Linked DNA regions of Arabidopsis thaliana. The protein of the gene in region 3 binds, or shares a complex with, the protein of the main gene of each other region. Each region holds a gene or a part of one and is shown on either strand. Other genes may lie near its edges.

Region 1 (6,932 bases), on a different chromosome or scaffold from region 3:
TAGGGCAACCTGAAGAAGGGATATCAACATGTAATTTCAAAACACCAGGCAGAGAAACAGAAGCAAATTAAGGATTCAGAGCTTTTCATGTACATCAGAAATAATAGAAACATACCTTCGCAGGTTGGTTTCCACCACCTTGTTCAGGAACAAACAATGAAAGGATGGAATCAGTAGGAGACCAGCAGATATCCACAACATTATCTACCTTCATGGATTTCTTGTCTATTAGGCTGAAAGTCTCAGTCTCATAGACAGAGATAGTGTTTTTGCTAAGCTTGGCAAAGTATTTATCATCTTTTCCACCAGCCCATCTGTAGAAAAAGTTTACAAGATATCAACATATGTCCATAATAGTGGAGAAGATGATAATATTGGCTGTTTATTTTTAGGACATTGACATGCAGTTGAAAGAATTACCTGAAAACAGGCCAAGAGGCACCAGCAACACCACCAGGTCCTCCAATTGAAAACTCATCAGCACTACCCTTGAAATCTCTCATCATCCTCCCGGTTCTCACATCAAAAACCTTAATCTCAACTTTCTGAAAGTTTGACAGAATTCAGCGTCACAAATAGTAAAAGTTGAAAAGAACAGAAGAAAAGATGCACTCACACTTGCATCTCGCGGGTTGCTTGGTTCTTGGCTATGGTAAGTTACAAGATATTTCTCACCTGGCGAGAAATCAACTAGTTTTACCTAAAACATAATCAACAAAAGATGCAATTTTCAGGCCAACAGAGGAAAAACGGAAGTAATATGTAGCAATTGAAAGGAAATTCAAACCATAGAATGCTGATAACGCATGAGACGCGTGAATGTATCAGCACCACCCCAAACAGCTGCCCCCTGCTTGTGGAGTGTCACAAGGTATGTACCTAAAGGAGACCACTGCACATAACTCTCTGTCCAATACTGCATAGGAAGAGAACATCATTAATTCAAATGAAGGTAACATAACATATAAAAGTGCTCTAAACAGTCAAGTAAACAAATAAGGGATATTAATTCAAATGAAGGTAACATAACATATACATTGCTCTAAACAGTCAAGTAAACAAAAGGGATATACACACAGGAAGTAACTTACAGGACGCTTATGAACAGGTTCAGGCGCCTTCTGCCTAGTATCATTCCAGAAAACTTCAGTATCAGGGCCAGAACGAATGACTAGCTGGTCTCGGGCTTTTTCATCAGTAAGCCATTTTTGCAAATTTTCCTGAAAAAACAAACACCATATAAGTAACGACAATTAGCACCACAAAAGGCTGCAATGAATTAAAATATATACATGAAACAAGAGTTATGAAATTATAGTTATTAGTTAGTATACATCAATTACGTAAAAAGATCCTAACCCTAACGCAGCAGGCAAACACAAAATAAATCAGCGAATTACCAAAATAAAGAAGTGATTACACAGACACAATGGAAGTTATTCAAAGAAAATTATTCAAGGTACAGGGAGTAACATGATGAAAACTACACATACCCCAGGGACGTAGGGCCTGGCCTGAGGAGGCTCCCACTCCTCCTTCACATTCATCAACCTGTCAAAATCATCGAACATGTTTACAGCAAAGATGTGAGACTTGTCCAACTTGTAGCCATGAGACTTTTCCTTAGCGTTTTGTGCTTCCTGCAAAGAGCCCCAGACATTGAGAGAAACTCTTAGGAAATACTCAACCATTAAGAACAACCTAGTTTGGGCTCCTTTCTAACAAGAGAAATAAAGTATTGAAACATATGACGCCGACATTATTGCTTCAGAATCCAACAAAACAGAGATTAAGCTAATCAAGTAGATAAATAACCTGAGGAGTGTTGAACTCAATAAAACAGTAGCCCAATGTCATCTTGGTATCGGGATCAACAGGCATCCACAGTCCATTTTCCTTAATCACACCTAACTGGTTGTAAATTTTCTTGACAACACCTTCAAGTTTCTCAAACTTCTCCTTGGGAACAACAGGGAGGTGATCGACCACGATAATGTTACCGAATCCAGTGTCGAATTCAGACTGGTCATCCTGGTAAACAGCTTCATCATCACTACAACCATCACAGAAAAAAAAAGTGTATAACGAATCAGTTCCATTTTTCATACGTTCATAGATAAAATGTATAAATATAATAAGCTTTGCACCATCAAGGAAAGAGATAAACCAATTCGAAATACACAAAATTTTCATACATACAATAGCAAAACCTAGAATAAAATCATCCCATCGTATAAACACAAGAAGATTAGAAATAGAAGTGACCGTATATGAACAACCAGAGATCTAAAGGAAAATCTCACCTCTCGATCCCAAAGTCTTCTCCAGGAGGAAGTTGGATGGAATCAAAATTAACCTGAGACCAATCAATCCCTAACTTAGCAGCTCGGGCATCAATATCAACGACCTCCATGATTTCAAACCTTATATCAAAAATCTGCCAAAGAAAGCCATATAGAGAGAGCTATCAGTCTTTAACACATTCCAACTTTAAGTCGATAAATAAATGTGAAAAATCTGAGTCTTTAGATCTAAAAGTAGGTTTTTTGTTAACCCTAAACAAGTATTAAAACAACAAACTACCATGGCCAAATGTTCAAAGACTAAAACTTTGAATCATCACTCCCACTATAATGTAAATCTAAAACCATGCCTATAGAAATTATTAACTATACTCTAGTTTTATTTAATCTAGAACCCAACAACAGGTGAAATGGAGAAAAATGGCAAAATTTTCCTGAAGGCTCTCTTATATCTATTGCATCGTTCTGGATCCTGTCTCATAGCTACATAAGAAAAGACAAAAAAAACAAATGAACACTGAAATCGAGATAAGAAACGTACCCAATACAGAGATCAGCCGAGAGCAAAAAACAAAGAAGAAGACGGCGCTTGAAGGTGAGGAAGAAGGAGCGATTGTTTTCAGGTCTTTTTGGATCATACGACGTCGGTTCCTTAAACGGGCTTATAAATATTTATATGGGCCGGGTAAGCCCAATTCAATAGTAATCAGTAGATCTAATTTATTGTCTTTCTCTCGATTAGCTTTTTTTTTTTTTTAACAATAATCCGTCTCTTTCATTTGGTGTCCTCGAGAACCAAATTCGGATAATCTCTCATCGGAGGATCGTTGTTGTTGTTGCTAGGGTTCTTATCGATTTGTAATGTACAAAACTAAATTAATCCCGGTGATGAACGAGGATGCTGTGATTGTTCAACAAACGGATTCGATTCAGGATCCTAAGGTAACTCCAGATGATACTGTAGTTGATTCGAGCGGGGATGTTCACGAAGCCATTGATGATGATGTTGAAGCTTCTTCACCTATGGAGCTAGATTCGGCGGTTACAAATGACGCTAGGGTTCTCGAAAGTGAGAGATCGGAGAAAGATGGTGTCGTAGGGAGTGAGGAGGAAGATGAGATTAAAAGCGAGGATGTTTTAATTGATAAGGATGATGAGAGTTCTGAGGTTAAAGAAGAAGAAGAAGAAGAAGATGGCTCTGATGATCAATCTAGTGAGCTTGGTTCTGAAGCTGATGAGAAGGAATTAGATTTGGGTTTGAAGGAAGAGAAAAAAGGAGTTTCGGATTATAAATCTCTTTTATCTGAGTTTGATGATTATGTTGCAAGTGAGAAAATGGGTTCTGGAGTTTCGAGGGCATTGAGTTATGGGTTTGAAGTTGGAGATTTGGTTTGGGGAAAGGTAAAGTCTCATCCTTGGTGGCCTGGTCATATATTCAATGAAGCTTTTGCGTCTCCTTCTGTTCGTCGTATGAGGAGGATTGATCATGTTCTTGTTGCGTTTTTCGGTGATAGTAGTTATGGTTGGTTTGATCCTGCTGAGCTTATTCCTTTCGAACCGAATTTAGAGGAGAAATCACAGCAGACGGTTTCGAAGCATTTTGTGAGAGCTGTGGAGGAAGCCAAGGATGAGGCGAGTAGAAGGTCAGCTCTTGGTTTGACTTGTAAATGTCGGAATCCTTATAACTTTAGGCCTAGTAATGTGGAAGATTACTTTGCTGTTGATGTGCCTGATTACGAGCTTCAAGCCGTTTACTCTGTTGATCAGATTAAGAATTCTAGGGATAAGTTTTTACCCGCTGAAACCATTTCGTTTGTGAAGCAATTGGCGTTAGCACCTCAAGAGTGTGATCCAGACAGTTTAAAGTTTATGAAGAAGAAAGCAGTGGTTTTTGCTTTCCGCAAGTCAGTGTTTGAGGAGTTTGATGAAACTTATGCACAGGCCTTTGGGACAAAATCACCCCGCAGTTCAGTGAGTACGCTGGAACCTCATAATAGAGCACCGCCTCGAGGTATTAGCCACTTTTCAGAAAATCATGTTATTGTTTGTATATGGGTTTTTTCGTTGTAGACTTGAAACAGCTTTCATATGTGTTACATAGATATTAGATACTGTAACTTGGTTTTAGGGTTTTACTTTTAGATCCTCTGTGCTCATGATTTTAGGATTTATATCTTTGTAGTTGAATTCTTTACATAGCATGCTTGAAAGAATAGTGAAGTCTCATTGATGCTAAACTGTGCATTCGAAAACGTGGCCTGATAACAATTCTGCGCCTCTTTCTACTATGGAGAGTCCCGCATACATTTACCTTGTTTGCTTTATTGTTCATTTTCTTGGTGGGTGATGTGTTGTTTCAATTTCTCTTATTTCCAGCTCCCTTGAGTGGCCCACTGGTCATAGCAGAAACGCTAGGTGACCTTAAGAGCTCTAAAAAACCCACAAAGGTTAAGGTCTCTAAAAAAAAAGACAAGTATCTTCTCAAACGAAGGGATGAAGCTGGTGATAAGTCTGTTCAGTTTGGCGAAATTGAAGCAAGTTCAGAAGCTTCTCATATCCAGGGAATTGATGGATCTTTGGATGGGGATTTTGGGCTGCAGAGAAGAGCTCCGACGCTTCAAACTCCAATGAAAGATGAGAAGTCTGGGATCGTCAGCATGGATTTTGCCTCTTCAAATACAGCTATTCCTGGTAAAGAATTTTCAGCTTCAAAGCCCTCTCTTGATGAAGAAAAGGGTCTAGCTGAAAAATCAAAGGAGAGAATGGAAGAAAGAGCTGCTGTACTTCCAGAGCATGGGAAATCTGAAGCTATGGCGAGTCTTAAACCTAAAGAAGAAGCTGGAACAGATCTTGGATCAGCTGGAAGTTCTCTCCAGCCTCTGCTTGAGTCTCATACCTCAGCATCTGAGGGGAAAAGTTCCACAGGGTCTGTAATCAAGAAAGTCAAAGTTGCTAAACGATCTTCAAGTGAAATGAGCTCGGAGAATCCTCCTTCAGAGCCAAAAAAGAAAAAGAAAAAGAAGAAAGAGCCTGATTCTGACCATCCAGTGAAGAGAAAAAATTTGTATTCTGGGGAAGCTGGGGCCAAGAAATTGTCCCAGCTTGGTTCAGCGCATTTACAAACCTATATGGAAGCCGATGTGCCGCAGCTGTTGAGCCATCTGCAAGATCTCTCTCTTGACCCTTTCCACGGTTTATCCGTTGCTTCTTTTGGAACTGCTAGGAAATTTTTTCTCCGTTTCCGTTCACTTAATTACCAGAAAAGCTTGTCTGTATCTTCCTCTGATGCTACTGTCGAAAATGCCAGAGACACAAAACCCTCAAAACCTGTCAAGACAGTGAAGAGAACCGAAGACCCATCAAAAGCTGGAAAAAAACGGCTCTCTTCTGATCGTCAAGATGAAATCCCATCAGCTAAGAAGCTGAAGAAAACTAATCAGTTGAAATCAATGGCTTCTGAAAAGAAGATCATTCGAGAAGCAAAGGATAGTATAAAACCAATAAGAGAGCCAAGCAGGGTGGTACAAGCAAAACCAGCCAGAGGTCAAACCGGGAAGAAAACAGCTCCATCAGTTAAGGTGGTTGAGCCAACAATGCTGGTCATGAAATTCCCACCTGGCACATCTCTCCCTTCAGCCGCATTGCTAAAGGCGAGGTTTGGTCGCTTCGGGCTGTTAGATCAATCCGCCATTAGGGTTTTCTGGAAATCATCGACCTGCCGTGTTGTCTTTCTGTACAAAGCCGATGCCCAGACTGCTTTTCGATATGCAACAGGAAACAACACTCTATTTGGAAACGTGAATGTAAAGTACTTTCTCCGTGATGTGGATGCTCCTAAAGCCGAGCCTCGTGAGCCAGAAAACACCAAGGAAGATGATGAACCACAGAGCCAGTGGTTGGACCAAGCACCACCGCTTCACCAACCAACATTACCGCCACCAAACGTCAACCTCAAATCCTGTTTGAAGAAACCAGTTGATGACCCGAGCAGTAGTAGCAACAATGGAAACGGTAACCGCGCAGCCGTAAGAGTCAAATTCATGTTAGGTGGTGAAGAAAACTCGAGTAAAGCAAACACCGAGCCACCACAGGTCACAATGACCTTGAATAGAAACAGTGGACCTTCTTCATCATCATCATCTGTTCCAATGGAATTTGTTAGTAAGAAGTTTCAAAACGTTGTTCATCATCAACAGCTTCCTCCTTCTACATTGCCTCCAATTCTTCCTCTCCCTCCACAATACACAAAACCACAACAACTTCCCATTAAACCAGTAGACCACGTCGAACCACCAATGCCACCTTCAAGAAACTTCCGTGGCCCGATCCCAGCGGTTAGCGCTGGGGACATCTCTCACCAGATGCTCAACCTTTTGTCAAAATGCAACGAAGTAGTGGCTAACGTCACGGGCTTATTGGGCTACGTCCCTTATCATCCCTTGTAACAAAACGAAGCCCGTTGAGAGAAAATGTGAGTGTTTGTTTGGTTTTTGGTGATAATATTGTATGTTAGGTATTAGTTTGGTTCGTTAACTTTAAATCATGTATTACAATTTATAATGATGAATCTCTCTCCCTCTCCCTCTCCCAGGCTTGTTTTATATTTCGTGTATTATTTTTTGAAGTTGT
Region 2 (6,932 bases), on a different chromosome or scaffold from region 3:
AATTCAATTTTCCATGAAGATTACTTATCACTTTAATGTGATGCTTCTAGTGACCTCTTATGCCTCACTTTGTTACTTTTGACATTTCAATTTCATGTTGTGCTTTGTTGGTTAGCTCTTGTTAGTGGAGTGGGGTTGGGCTTTGCAAATCCGACTCTAGGCTGTCTTGCAGACAAGTACTCTTTCACTAAGATCAGCACATGCGGGATATTTATTATATCAGGTGATTCTATCAGCTGTGGCATAAGTGTACAATTGCTTTGTTCTTCTTCTTTTTCTATGTTAAAGGGTGATGGAAGCAATCACTTTGTTTCTGTCGAATAGCTTATCAAATGTGTACTCTTTTCATGTATTGTGGAGCAGGGTTGACTTTACGTACCGAAGCGATTGGTGCTGCTGTCAAAGGGTGGCCTCTTGGACTCTTTGGGCTAGTATGATCTTGACTCATCTTTAGCTTTCATATGTTCTGTGAATGTTTCCTCTTCTGTAGATCTCTTCTGCTAAGTTCTGAAAATAAGAAAATCTAATGAATAGAAACCTTTTGGTAATGCTTTTCCTTTTTTTAACTCCTGTTAGTTATACTACATACTTAAACGCAAACTATTTCTCTTTTTCTTTCAGATCTCTATTTTGTTGCTCACTCCATCCTTCTCAAGGCTAATTATGTTGGTCCAACTCCAACCTCGTGAACTTGTTACAGGTTACTCTTTCTCTATCTTAAACTTAGTGTCAAGTAAAACTTCAAAGACCACGTTCTTTCCTGAACTTGTTACTGCTTATATTGTATCGGCTTCCATTGATTTACATTACATCTACAGTTTTTGTTAAATTGTCTCTCGTTATATAATATCTGACAACTAATTGATCAACTATAGCTGCGTTATTAAGTAGTAATCTGATTGCCTTTGTGATCTTGTATCCAACAGTTCCACTTTGACGTTGTCTTTGAATCTTGATCCGTTTCTTACATTTATGGTTCAATTTTGAATACCTTATTCTTCAGTTCCAGCTCAGTAGTGAGTTAGTGATTGAGGAGTCCAAAACTTATGTATGTCCTTTTGCTCTTTACAGGGCTGGGTATATTTTGCTGTATGCCAACCACCTTATCAAGTGGTGTTGCCCTTACTCACGTACTCAATTTGATATAAGTCTAATCAATATTTTGTGCAAAACTGTTTTTCTTGCGTTCCACTGACTTATCATATTGCCAATTCAGCTTGCTGGTGGTAATGCTGCTCTTGCTCTTGCTGTGACAGTGGCATCTAACTTATTAGGAATTTTAACTGTAAGCCGAACGACTTGCATATTATTGTTCCTCCTTTGAAACTAGTTGATCATGCAGAATCAGGGGTATTTTTAGTAAGATTGTTTCCTGGTCTATATTTCCGAATTGCTTAGCAATTTGTTCTCAAAACAACTCATGATCTTGTATCTATGACTATGAGTAGGATTCAAACTTCAAAGTCTTCTATTAAGAATGAGTATTGCGTCTTCTGACACTGAAGTTAACGTGGTTTGACCTCTAATCAGATTCCATTTTGGGTATCAAGATACATAGCTGGGGGAGTAGGGGTTTCGTTTCCTACTGACCAACTATTCAGAAGTCTTATAGTTACTCTGTTAATTCCTTTAATCATTGGCAAGGTGAGACAATCTTTCTGTTTGTCCTGTTCTTGCAATGATGAATCAATATAAATTCTGATATACGGTACAATTGTGAAAGCTAAATTTGCAGAGGTGGTTGTTGCCAAAAGATATGTGAATACTTTATTGGAAATTATAATAGGGTTGTTGCGTGGCTCATTTGAAAATGAAGAAAGCTTACTCTCTATTATTTGTTACTTTCCCTGATGTTTATATGAACCTTTCACAAACAGTCATTTCAGCATGAAGTTCTATCACTTGCCATTTTGCACACGTTTTTAAAATCGAGCTTTGACATACTTGGTTTCTTCTGTTATAGGTTATTCGAGAATCATTCAAAGGTGAGCGCCATTTGTTATATTTTACTTCTCTGGTGAAAGTAATTGAATACATACCATTTTAAATAGTTAGCAGTCACTTTATCGTGACAATGGATCAAAATGGTTCTGTTTATAATAAATATATATGCTTATCGCTGCCTACTTTCTGACCTTGTTGAAACTCTTGTTGAAATGTGTGATACAGGTTTCGCAAACTTTGTTGACAATAACCGTAAACTCTTTTCGAAAATCAACGCAATCTGCCTCAGTTTGGTAAGATATGAAATGTTAGTCTCCCGTAATTTCTACACCCCTTGAATAACTTTCTGAAGTCATATCCTTGGAGTTTTGCTTTGTTGCAGGAATCTTAAACTTGGCATTTTAGATGCCTGTACTTAAAACTTTCTCTTTTCTTGTATGATAGCTTGGGATTTCAACATTCCGTGGCATTGATGTGCCAATCCAAAGCTTTTACTAAATTGCAAAAACCATATTTGCAGTCACGGTTATGACTTTGGAGATAGAAGGACTTAATACTTTTTTCCTTTTTATAGTTTAACCTCTGCTTCCCTGGCTACTTCAACTGGTCTGACTTTGTTATTGCATTTACCTGGTTATTTTGGGAACTTAATAGTGTTTATTCCATGATTAATATTCTAGGTGCCATGGATCCAAGTGAGCAGGTCAAGATCACTGCTACTATCCGTTCAACCTAAGGTTTTCCTTGCAGCAGTTGGCATTGGAATGTACGCATTCTTCTTTTAACATATAGAAAAGATACCAAGTGAAGAAGCTCATGGAAATATTTGGCTTGTGTGTTAGAAATGCGGATTACGTTTGACAGAAGATTCTTACGTCTTCTTACAGATTGCTGCATCTTTCTCTACTAGCATTCAATGCTGTTTCAATCCGCATCCTCTCCGGTCTTACAGGTGGTAGCAAGAGCTCCAAGGAAAACAGCACTGCAGTTTTGCTCGTTTCAAGCCAGGTAATAATAGAGTTTGCCTTTTAGAACCGATTTTGATCTCTTAAATTTGGGAGTTCTTTTCTTGTGGTGGCATAGAAAACATTACCGGTAATGGTGGCGGTAGTAGAGCAATTAGGAGGTGCATTTGGTGAGACAGGGCTATTGGTTCTTCCTTGTGTAGCTGCACACCTGAACCAGGTTACAAATTGTATTATAATCATCATGTACTTGTGTGCATAATTTTATAAATTATTGACGTAAATCTGGAATGTTACAGATCATGATTGATTCAGTTCTTGTCAACTTATGGCTCCGGAGAGGAAAAGATACTTCGACTAAAGTAAAGACAGCTTGAGAGAGAGAGAGAGAGATAGAAAGCAATGAAACCAATGCTGTGGAGAAGGTTACATCCTAAACACACTGAATGTCAGTTATATACATAGCAGCAAGACTGGGGATTTTGATATCTTTCCAATCACCAAAGCTTAGTTGATCATTGACCATCTCTCTCTCTCTCTCTCTTTCTGTATGTATATGCTCTAGAGATTCCGGTCGGTGTTTGCTGATCCAATTTGTATGATTTATGAAACTATGTAAAAAAAAAACTTGTATCTATATTTGAAAACATTTAGTCATTTGACGTTACCAGCGTACAAAGCAATTCATATGTAATCTGTCTGATAAGCAGCTAGGAAAGAGGACTAAGAACCGGTTCTTTTCTCAATTTAATTGAACTAACCATCACTACAATTTCATTTAGTCCTGGTTCGACCAATTCGGTTTGTAAATAAAATAAAAACCGATCGAGAGCGTTTTAATTGTCCTCGGTTTTCAGTTTCGGTATGGAAATAGAATCAAATCGAATCCGGTTTAGTGAGTAAATCACGAAACCCTAATTCTATATATTTTTTCATCTCGACCAAAATGCTTGGACGGCTACACACCATTTTTGTTTAGATTCGTAATCCTCCTCAAGCATCTCCTTCGCAAATCTCCATCTCCATCTCCATCTTCTGAATTCAGGTAATTTTGTTCCTCATCATCTAGCGTAACAAATTTTCGATTCTAGTTTGGTGTAGATTGATTCGAATCGATTCTAATTCTTTGTTGATACGAGTCTGTATCTGTGACACGATTGTTTCGTTCAGATTATGTTCTTCGAATGGATTGGTTTGTTTTACTTATAATTTCGTTCCTCTGATTCACTATTCAGATTTGTTACTTTTGGTGTATCAGGTTCTTGTTGCTTACGCTTCCAGCTAAAAAGATGACGTCTCGTTTTTTCACTCAGGTTTCCTTCAACAGACCTCTTGTTTATAAACTCTCTTTACCTTTACTTGCTTCAGTTTCTGAATGATTTTTACTTGTTATGTTGATAGGTTGGAAGTGAAAGTGAAGATGAAAGTGATTATGAGGTAGAGGTTAATGAGGTTCAGAATGATGACGTCAATAACCGTTACCTTCAAAGTGGTAGTGAGGATGATGATGATACTGATACGAAACGTGTGGTTAAGCCTGCTAAGGATAAACGTTTTGAGGAGATGACCTACACTGTTGATCAGATGAAGAATGCTATGAAGATCAATGATTGGGTCAGCCTTCAAGAAAACTTTGATAAGGTTAACAAACAGCTTGAGAAGGTTATGAGGATTACTGAGGCTGTGAAGCCTCCTACCTTGTATATCAAGACGCTTGTTATGTTGGAGGATTTCTTGAATGAAGCTCTTGCCAATAAGGAAGCCAAGAAGAAGATGAGTACTAGTAACTCCAAGGCTTTGAACTCAATGAAACAGAAATTGAAGAAGAACAATAAGTTGTACGAAGACGATATCAACAAGTATCGTGAGGCTCCAGAAGTTGAGGAAGAGAAACAACCTGAAGATGATGATGATGATGACGATGATGATGATGAGGTTGAAGATGATGATGATTCTTCCATCGACGGACCTACCGTAGATCCTGGGTCCGATGTGGATGAACCTACTGATAATCTCACTTGGGAGAAGATGCTGAGCAAAAAAGATAAGCTTTTGGAGAAGCTAATGAATAAAGATCCTAAAGAGATCACTTGGGACTGGGTCAACAAGAAGTTCAAGGAAATTGTGGCTGCTCGTGGAAAAAAGGGCACTGCTCGATTTGAGCTAGTTGATCAGCTTACGCACTTGACAAAGATTGCCAAGACTCCTGCACAGAAGCTTGAAATCTTGTTTAGCGTTATTTCGGCTCAGTTTGATGTGAATCCAGGTCTCAGCGGGCACATGCCTATCAATGTCTGGAAGAAATGCGTGCTTAACATGCTCACCATACTGGACATTCTCGTCAAGTACAGTAACATTGTTGTGGATGACACAGTTGAGCCTGATGAGAACGAAACTTCAAAGCCAACAGATTATGATGGAAAAATTCGGGTCTGGGGAAATTTGGTTGCATTCTTGGAGAGGGTTGACACTGAGTTTTTCAAGAGTTTGCAATGCATTGATCCTCACACCCGTGAGTATGTTGAGAGGCTAAGGGATGAGCCCATGTTCTTGGCCCTTGCTCAGAACATCCAGGACTACTTTGAGCGGATGGGTGATTTTAAAGCTGCTGCAAAGGTAGCCTTAAGACGTGTTGAGGCAATATACTACAAGCCCCAGGAAGTTTATGATGCAATGAGGAAATTGGCTGAGTTGGTGGAAGAAGAAGAAGAAACTGAGGAGGCCAAAGAGGAAAGTGGACCTCCTACTTCATTTATTGTTGTTCCGGAGGTTGTTCCCCGTAAGCCTACCTTCCCAGAGAGCAGCCGAGCTATGATGGATATTCTTGTGTCCCTTATCTACAGAAATGGAGATGAGCGGACCAAAGCGCGTGCGATGCTATGTGATATCAATCACCATGCTTTAATGGACAACTTTGTGACTGCTAGAGACCTGTTGCTGATGAGTCATCTGCAAGACAACATCCAGCACATGGACATCTCAACACAGATTCTCTTTAACAGGACCATGGCGCAGCTTGGTCTTTGCGCCTTCCGGGCTGGAATGATCACTGAGTCCCATAGCTGCCTTTCCGAGCTGTACTCTGGTCAAAGAGTGAGAGAGTTGCTTGCCCAAGGTGTCTCGCAAAGCCGATACCATGAGAAAACCCCGGAGCAGGTAACTAGTTATCTTCTGTTTTTAGATTTAATACAGATAGGATTGAAAAAAAATTGTTTGACCAGATAGTTCTGATTGAGACATGATTACAAACACTGTTGCATTTTTGGGTTCTTCATTTTGTTTCATTTCACACAATCCATTTTCTCTATTTCAACATGGATGCTTATGGTTATGTTTTTCGTTCAGTTTATTTATATGTGATATAAAACTTTCTTGGTTTATTTCTTGATTTACCAGGAAAGGATGGAAAGGAGAAGACAAATGCCGTACCACATGCACTTAAACCTTGAGCTTCTGGAGGCAGTTCATCTCATCTGTGCCATGCTTCTTGAAGTCCCAAACATGGCTGCAAACTCGCACGATGCCAAACGCAGAGTGATTAGCAAGAATTTCCGCCGCCTGCTCGAGATCAGTGAAAGGCAAGCATTCACTGCACCGCCTGAGAATGTACGTGACCATGTCATGGCAGCCACCAGAGCCCTGACCAAAGGAGATTTCCAGAAGGCGTTTGAAGTTTTGAACTCTCTTGAGGTCTGGAGGCTGCTCAAGAACCGTGACAGCATCCTTGACATGGTGAAGGATAGGATCAAAGAAGAGGCTCTAAGGACTTACCTATTCACATACTCAAGCTCTTATGAGTCCTTGAGTCTTGATCAGCTGGCCAAAATGTTTGACGTCTCTGAGCCGCAGGTCCACAGCATTGTGAGTAAGATGATGATTAATGAGGAACTGCATGCAAGCTGGGATCAGCCAACACGATGCATCGTCTTCCATGAAGTGCAACACAGCAGATTACAATCATTGGCTTTCCAGTTAACGGAGAAACTCTCGATTTTGGCAGAAAGCAATGAGAGGGCAATGGAA
Region 3 (4,921 bases):
ATTTTTTAATAGAAAACAAAATAAGAAACAAAAATTAAACACGGAAACTCTAGAAAATTTGTTTAAAAACAGAAGGCACCAAATTTCTTCTGGATAAGATTTGAAATCAATTTCCAAAAGGGAACCAATTAACCATAATCTCAAAGAAAAGTGCCAAGCTGAGAACATAGAAAGGGGAAAACAGTTTTCCTCAATTTCTCTCAGATTAATACCCAACAAAGAAAGAAAAAAAAGCCACCTTTGAAATTGAAGAAATACAAGAGAGAGACGGTAAGAAGATTTACATAAACGAAGATTTGCAGTTTCTTTTTTGGTGCTCGTCTGGCTTTCTTTTGTTTTTCCTGTCTCTCCCGTTTTTATGTTCACGACTTGTCTGTCTGATCGTTTGCCTTTGTTTATTTCACTTTTTATTCACGTATTTATCACCCTTCTTTATATCCTCCACGTATCTTAATTAAATCTAACTTGTTCACTTCAATCACATATTGTATCTTCATTAGTCTTCATTATGTCGACTAAATAAAATAGAAAAAACAAATCATTAGGTTCATGATTGTCAAAAAAACAATTATAAATAAAACACCGTTCATTGTTGTCGATCAAATTGAAAATTTATATATTATATTCATAAAATTCAATTATTTATTCTGTTAAGCAATTCAAAAAAGTCTCATATATGTACAAAATTACAAAACTAGTTACATCAAAATCAAAAGTTATGATCTTGGGAATAACCTAGTTGTTAGTAGAATAATAGTATTGTTTTAAGCAATCATCTTAGATACGAGATGATCTAACTAATTATAGTTTAATCAGTCAAATTTATCACATAGGGAGCAGTCAAAATATGCATGGGAAAAGAGAAAATTGTGCACGTGACATGATTTGGTGTCAACATGTGAGCTTCCAAATGGATGGCTGTCAATCTTCGTATGTGATCTGTGTAGAGAGGACGACAAGACATAGACAGTCTCTTTGTATTTCAAACTTTCTCAATACAAATTTGCCGTGTCAGTTTCTATATTCCAAGAAACCTAAACAAAAGTTTTTTTTTTCCTTTGCTTTTTAAAGAAGACAATTGTTTGGGTTGTCTGAAGATTCGTTTAGTTTATTTAGATGTAATGAAGTAAACAGAAGATAATCAATCAGAAACGAGCCAATTCCAACACTTGTTGAGAAACCAGTATTGGAATCCATGGAAGGTAAAAAAAAAGGTAAGAAGCAGAGCTCAGACTATGAAGATCTACTAATTATGGCAAAGTCTCGGTCTACTAGATTTTTAAGAAAATCTGTCAAATTGCAAAGAGGAAGGCCATTGCCAAAATTCACATTACGGTGTCTTAAAAGTGTACATCACAAGATAACAAGAGACAAAAGGAAAATTTGCAGTGTTCTCATGAATTGGTTCAACCAAGGATGGGGAAGATGCGGGCAATGTGTTCCAAGGGAACATTCTCACCTGTATTTTTCTTGAGCTCCGGATGGTTAAATTCATTTTGTGGTAAGACAATACTTCCACCCTCTTTCTCAACAATCCATCCACTGTTAGTCACTTGCTGCTCGATGAATTTGTCTAGAGATGCACCATCCATGTTAACAGCCTGTGAAAATTGTCATTTATTGACAAATAAAAGGTCAACAAATTAGATTTCCAGAACTATGATGTGGAATATTCGTAACAGAAAATTATATGAGAAAGTAAAAGATTTCACATCCGAAGTTCTACTATTTTGATGACTTAAGCTATCCGTGGTGAAAACGAGATCATAAACCAAACATCATACCTCAGCCAGCACTGATCTTGGAACCTTTTGGTAGCTTAAGCTAAGAAGGTGACTTGCATATGCTTGAATAGCTTGCTCAAAACCTGCATTTAATCTCTCGCATATAAGACATCTACACTAGACACAATCATAAAATGAATAGACAGTACCATAAACCACTACTGAGGACTTTGTTCGTACCATAAGACATCTACACACAAATATCCTTAAGTAACAAATCTACATCTAGAAATTTGTTATTAGTAGACGATTTATTTATGATTCAGAAGTTAGTTACCTGGAACAGCCTCGAGAATGTGACGGTTCTTGGCAGCTTCATCCCAGAACTGTTGGAACCTCCCAGTCTGCAAAAGAAAAACAAGTGCTTTAAATACTCAATGCACACCTTTTCAACTCTCAACTAACTAATACTGATGTTTGCGTACCTCAAGGTAGTGTGATAGAACAATTAGTGACTTGAACTGCTCCTCCATTTGCTGAAACACACAATCCAAACAAGTACATTTATTAGTCCTCAAGAATCCAACACATTGAAACTCACACTTTATCATGAATGCTCAGTACACAGACTGAACTGACAGAAATAACTTGGAATGGCATAATAACTTGAGTCAGAAACATTTGAACAATCGTTTCTTCTGTATCTACGATAAGCTATATATGTAAGAAAGCAAAACATTGTGAAGTTAAGAGGAAAGAAGAATACCACTCTTTCGGGAATCAAGAAGAGGCAAAGGCTGAAGTCTGGAGTTGGCATAGCCATAAGAGCCTTGACCAAGATTCGAGCCACGATATGAGTGTTCATGCGCTCAGGCTCAAACTGCATAAAAGCAACAATACCAATTAACGAAAAGAGACACTAAAACTCTTGAATTTGGTATCAAAAGGTCCAGCTTAAGAACAACTAGAGCACCTGATAGAGCCGAAGCAAGCATAGGTTTACTTCCAGACTATACGTTTGCGATGTAACCTGAAAATCATAACGAAACCAACAACAATCAATGGAACACGATTTCTACAACAGAATCCGGCTTGAGAGAAAAGGGAAAGGAAACTGCACGTTAACGTAGTTTTCGAGATCAGGCAGGATTTCAGGGTTGAAAGGATTAAGGGCGACGAGCTGCTCAACGGTGTAAGAGCTCTGTTCCTGCGGCGATTGGATCTCTACTCCCATCTCTGCCTCTTTCTCCTTCTCCGTTTCTGTCCCTTTTGCGTCGGTCTCTTCGAACTTTGATAGATCACTGAGGAATGTGCAGAGGAGATTCGCTGATAAGACGAATCTAGGGTTTAAAAGCCAAAACGACAAAGCTTTGTCGTTTGGGCTAATGGTGCAATTGACAAAACGTTTGGGTTAAATTAGGATGACAGAGAAACTACAAAGGGTTGTTTAGTAAATAACTATTTTTAAGCCATTTTGATGCCACAGACTCGGTAAATAAATATTTTCTCAGTTTGCTTTTAAAGATTGATACTACACTAGAGTTTGCATTCGATTAACCATGGTCCAAAAGTTCACCAGTGAACATCTTTTCAAACAAAACTGTCAGCATCTACGAGTTCTCTGATCACAACTTCATGAAGTCTCACTTTGTTTCCAGTAGAATAATAAATGTGGATATCCTTCAAGAGTATAAAATCATAATCTTTCTTTTTTCAAATTTCAATATATACAAGTAATCTTTATATTCACGAAGAATGAATCCTTTGGTAATAAAATAAAAATAAAAATATATAGTTTCTTTTTGTAACAATCAATGGGTTTTCCTTGTTGTTTTAGTCTTCAACAGCTTCATCGAATACGATTCACATGAGAAAATGGCTCGGCAACTGCTTTTGGTGCAGCTTTTTTTGCAGTCTCTGGTACTCCAAAAACGTTCCAAAACCTCAGGGTCTCGTCTCCTGCTGCTGAAGCTACAGTACAACCATCTGGACTCTGTAGAAAACACAACAAACAACACAAGTTTAAGGACTGAATGACCTCAAAGACTCAAACTACTTCACCACTTAAAGAAATTGATGACGTTACCTGGGCCATATATAGAACTCTTGATGTATGACCAGTGAGCTCAGCCATTTTCACCATGGATGGGTACTTCCAAAGTGTAAGCTGATTCTGTGTAAACCCATGTGAGCTAAGCAACTCTCTTTCATTCTTGCTCCATAACAACGAACAAACTTGGGAACCAGTGTCTACTGAATTCAAGCAAGCCCCAGTGTGAGTATTCCAGAACTTTATCGTCCTGTCTCCTCCACCACCACCAGTTGCAAGCAAATTCGCTTGGAAAGGGCACCACGCAAGAGCCTTCACAGCAGATGTATGTTCCTCAAGCCTGTGCAGCCATTGTGTGGTTGAGTTTGAGGAAGCGACAGAACGATCCCAGATGTGTACCACATTGTCGTTGCCACCACTTGCTAGTTGTTGTCCAGATCCTGACCACTTGAGCCCACAAACTTCTTGAGTGTGACCTCTGTAAGTTTCCACAATGGGTGATCTGATCCTCACATCATTGTTGATGATCAGTCCATCCATTCCTCCAGTAGTAAGGATATGATTGTTCCATGCCAGTGATCCTACTCTTGACTGGTGACCACCCTTTAATGTTCTCAGCTGCAGAAATATGAGAAACACATCAGACTAAGAACACCGGATATTATATCTCAACATAAAAGAGAGAGAGTAGTAATTACTTGACGGTTGGATGCAGAATCCCACAGCTGGACTTCAGAGTTGTTGAGTCCAACTGCAACATGACGACCATCAGGAGCCCAGTTGATACTTGTGACAGGTCCCTTCTCCTCATCAATGGTCACAAGCTCAGATGTAGAACCAGTGGAAGCATCCCACAAGTAGACAGTGTGGTCCAACGCTATGGCTAAGACATTTGCACTTCCCCAGTCCAGCAAGTTGAGGTAGAAATCGTCAACAATGTCAGGTGCATCCAAGGTTCTCTCAGAAGTCTGTTAATCACAACAGAAAGTTTAGCAACAGATCAATACAACTCTAATGCAGCAACCAGTAAGTGAGCTTTAAGGATCAAACGCAATAAATACAGTACATACCTGAGGAATGTATCGACGAGGCTTTACAGATTTGGGTTGTTGGTGAAGAGAAGCAGAGTGATTGCTCGGAAGCAGTT

Evidence for each region.
Region 1: EIF3K (region 3) and TIF3B1 share a complex: the UniProt entries of both Arabidopsis thaliana proteins name them as parts of the eukaryotic translation initiation factor 3 (eIF-3) complex.
Region 2: EIF3K (region 3) and EIF3C share a complex: the UniProt entries of both Arabidopsis thaliana proteins name them as parts of the eukaryotic translation initiation factor 3 (eIF-3) complex.

What each region holds. Positions count from the first base shown.
Region 1 is NC_003076.8:9,782,347-9,789,278, forward strand, and holds the start of TIF3B1 (translation initiation factor 3B1), read right to left. Parts: upstream 2,943-6,932; 5' UTR 2,845-2,942; intron 2,830-2,844; exon of another isoform or gene 2,438-2,829; 5' UTR 2,414-2,437; coding exon 2,304-2,413; intron 2,054-2,303; coding exon 1,816-2,053; intron 1,719-1,815; coding exon 1,494-1,718; intron 1,221-1,493; coding exon 1,092-1,220; intron 917-1,091; coding exon 788-916; intron 701-787; coding exon 617-700; intron 546-616; coding exon 421-545; intron 315-420; coding exon 116-314; intron 10-115; coding exon 1-9. Other genes in the region: AT5G27650 (Tudor/PWWP/MBT superfamily protein), read left to right, coding at 3,165-4,314, 4,680-6,748. UniProt on the Arabidopsis thaliana protein: RNA-binding component of the eukaryotic translation initiation factor 3 (eIF-3) complex, which is involved in protein synthesis of a specialized repertoire of mRNAs and, together with other initiation factors, stimulates binding of mRNA and methionyl-tRNAi to the 40S ribosome.
Region 2 is NC_003074.8:20,834,087-20,841,018, reverse strand, and holds the start of EIF3C (eukaryotic translation initiation factor 3C), read left to right. Parts: upstream 1-3,743; 5' UTR 3,744-3,954; intron 3,955-4,144; exon of another isoform or gene 4,145-4,167; 5' UTR 4,168-4,198; coding exon 4,199-4,222; intron 4,223-4,310; coding exon 4,311-6,065; intron 6,066-6,305; coding exon 6,306-6,932. Other genes in the region: AT3G56160 (Sodium Bile acid symporter family), read left to right, coding at 116-223, 364-431, 622-700, 1,072-1,130, 1,217-1,285, 1,531-1,644, 1,964-1,985, 2,170-2,237 and 4 more. UniProt on the Arabidopsis thaliana protein: Component of the eukaryotic translation initiation factor 3 (eIF-3) complex, which is involved in protein synthesis of a specialized repertoire of mRNAs and, together with other initiation factors, stimulates binding of mRNA and methionyl-tRNAi to the 40S ribosome.
Region 3 is NC_003075.7:16,037,660-16,042,580, forward strand, and holds EIF3K (eukaryotic translation initiation factor 3K), read right to left. Parts: upstream 3,150-4,921; 5' UTR 2,959-3,149; coding exon 2,845-2,958; intron 2,755-2,844; coding exon 2,698-2,754; intron 2,605-2,697; coding exon 2,491-2,604; intron 2,261-2,490; coding exon 2,210-2,260; intron 2,129-2,209; coding exon 2,062-2,128; intron 1,868-2,061; coding exon 1,785-1,867; intron 1,602-1,784; coding exon 1,407-1,601; 3' UTR 992-1,406; downstream 1-991. Other genes in the region: CDC20.2 (Transducin family protein / WD-40 repeat family protein), read right to left, coding at 3,574-3,717, 3,811-4,392, 4,473-4,742, 4,845-4,921. UniProt on the Arabidopsis thaliana protein: Component of the eukaryotic translation initiation factor 3 (eIF-3) complex, which is involved in protein synthesis of a specialized repertoire of mRNAs and, together with other initiation factors, stimulates binding of mRNA and methionyl-tRNAi to the 40S ribosome.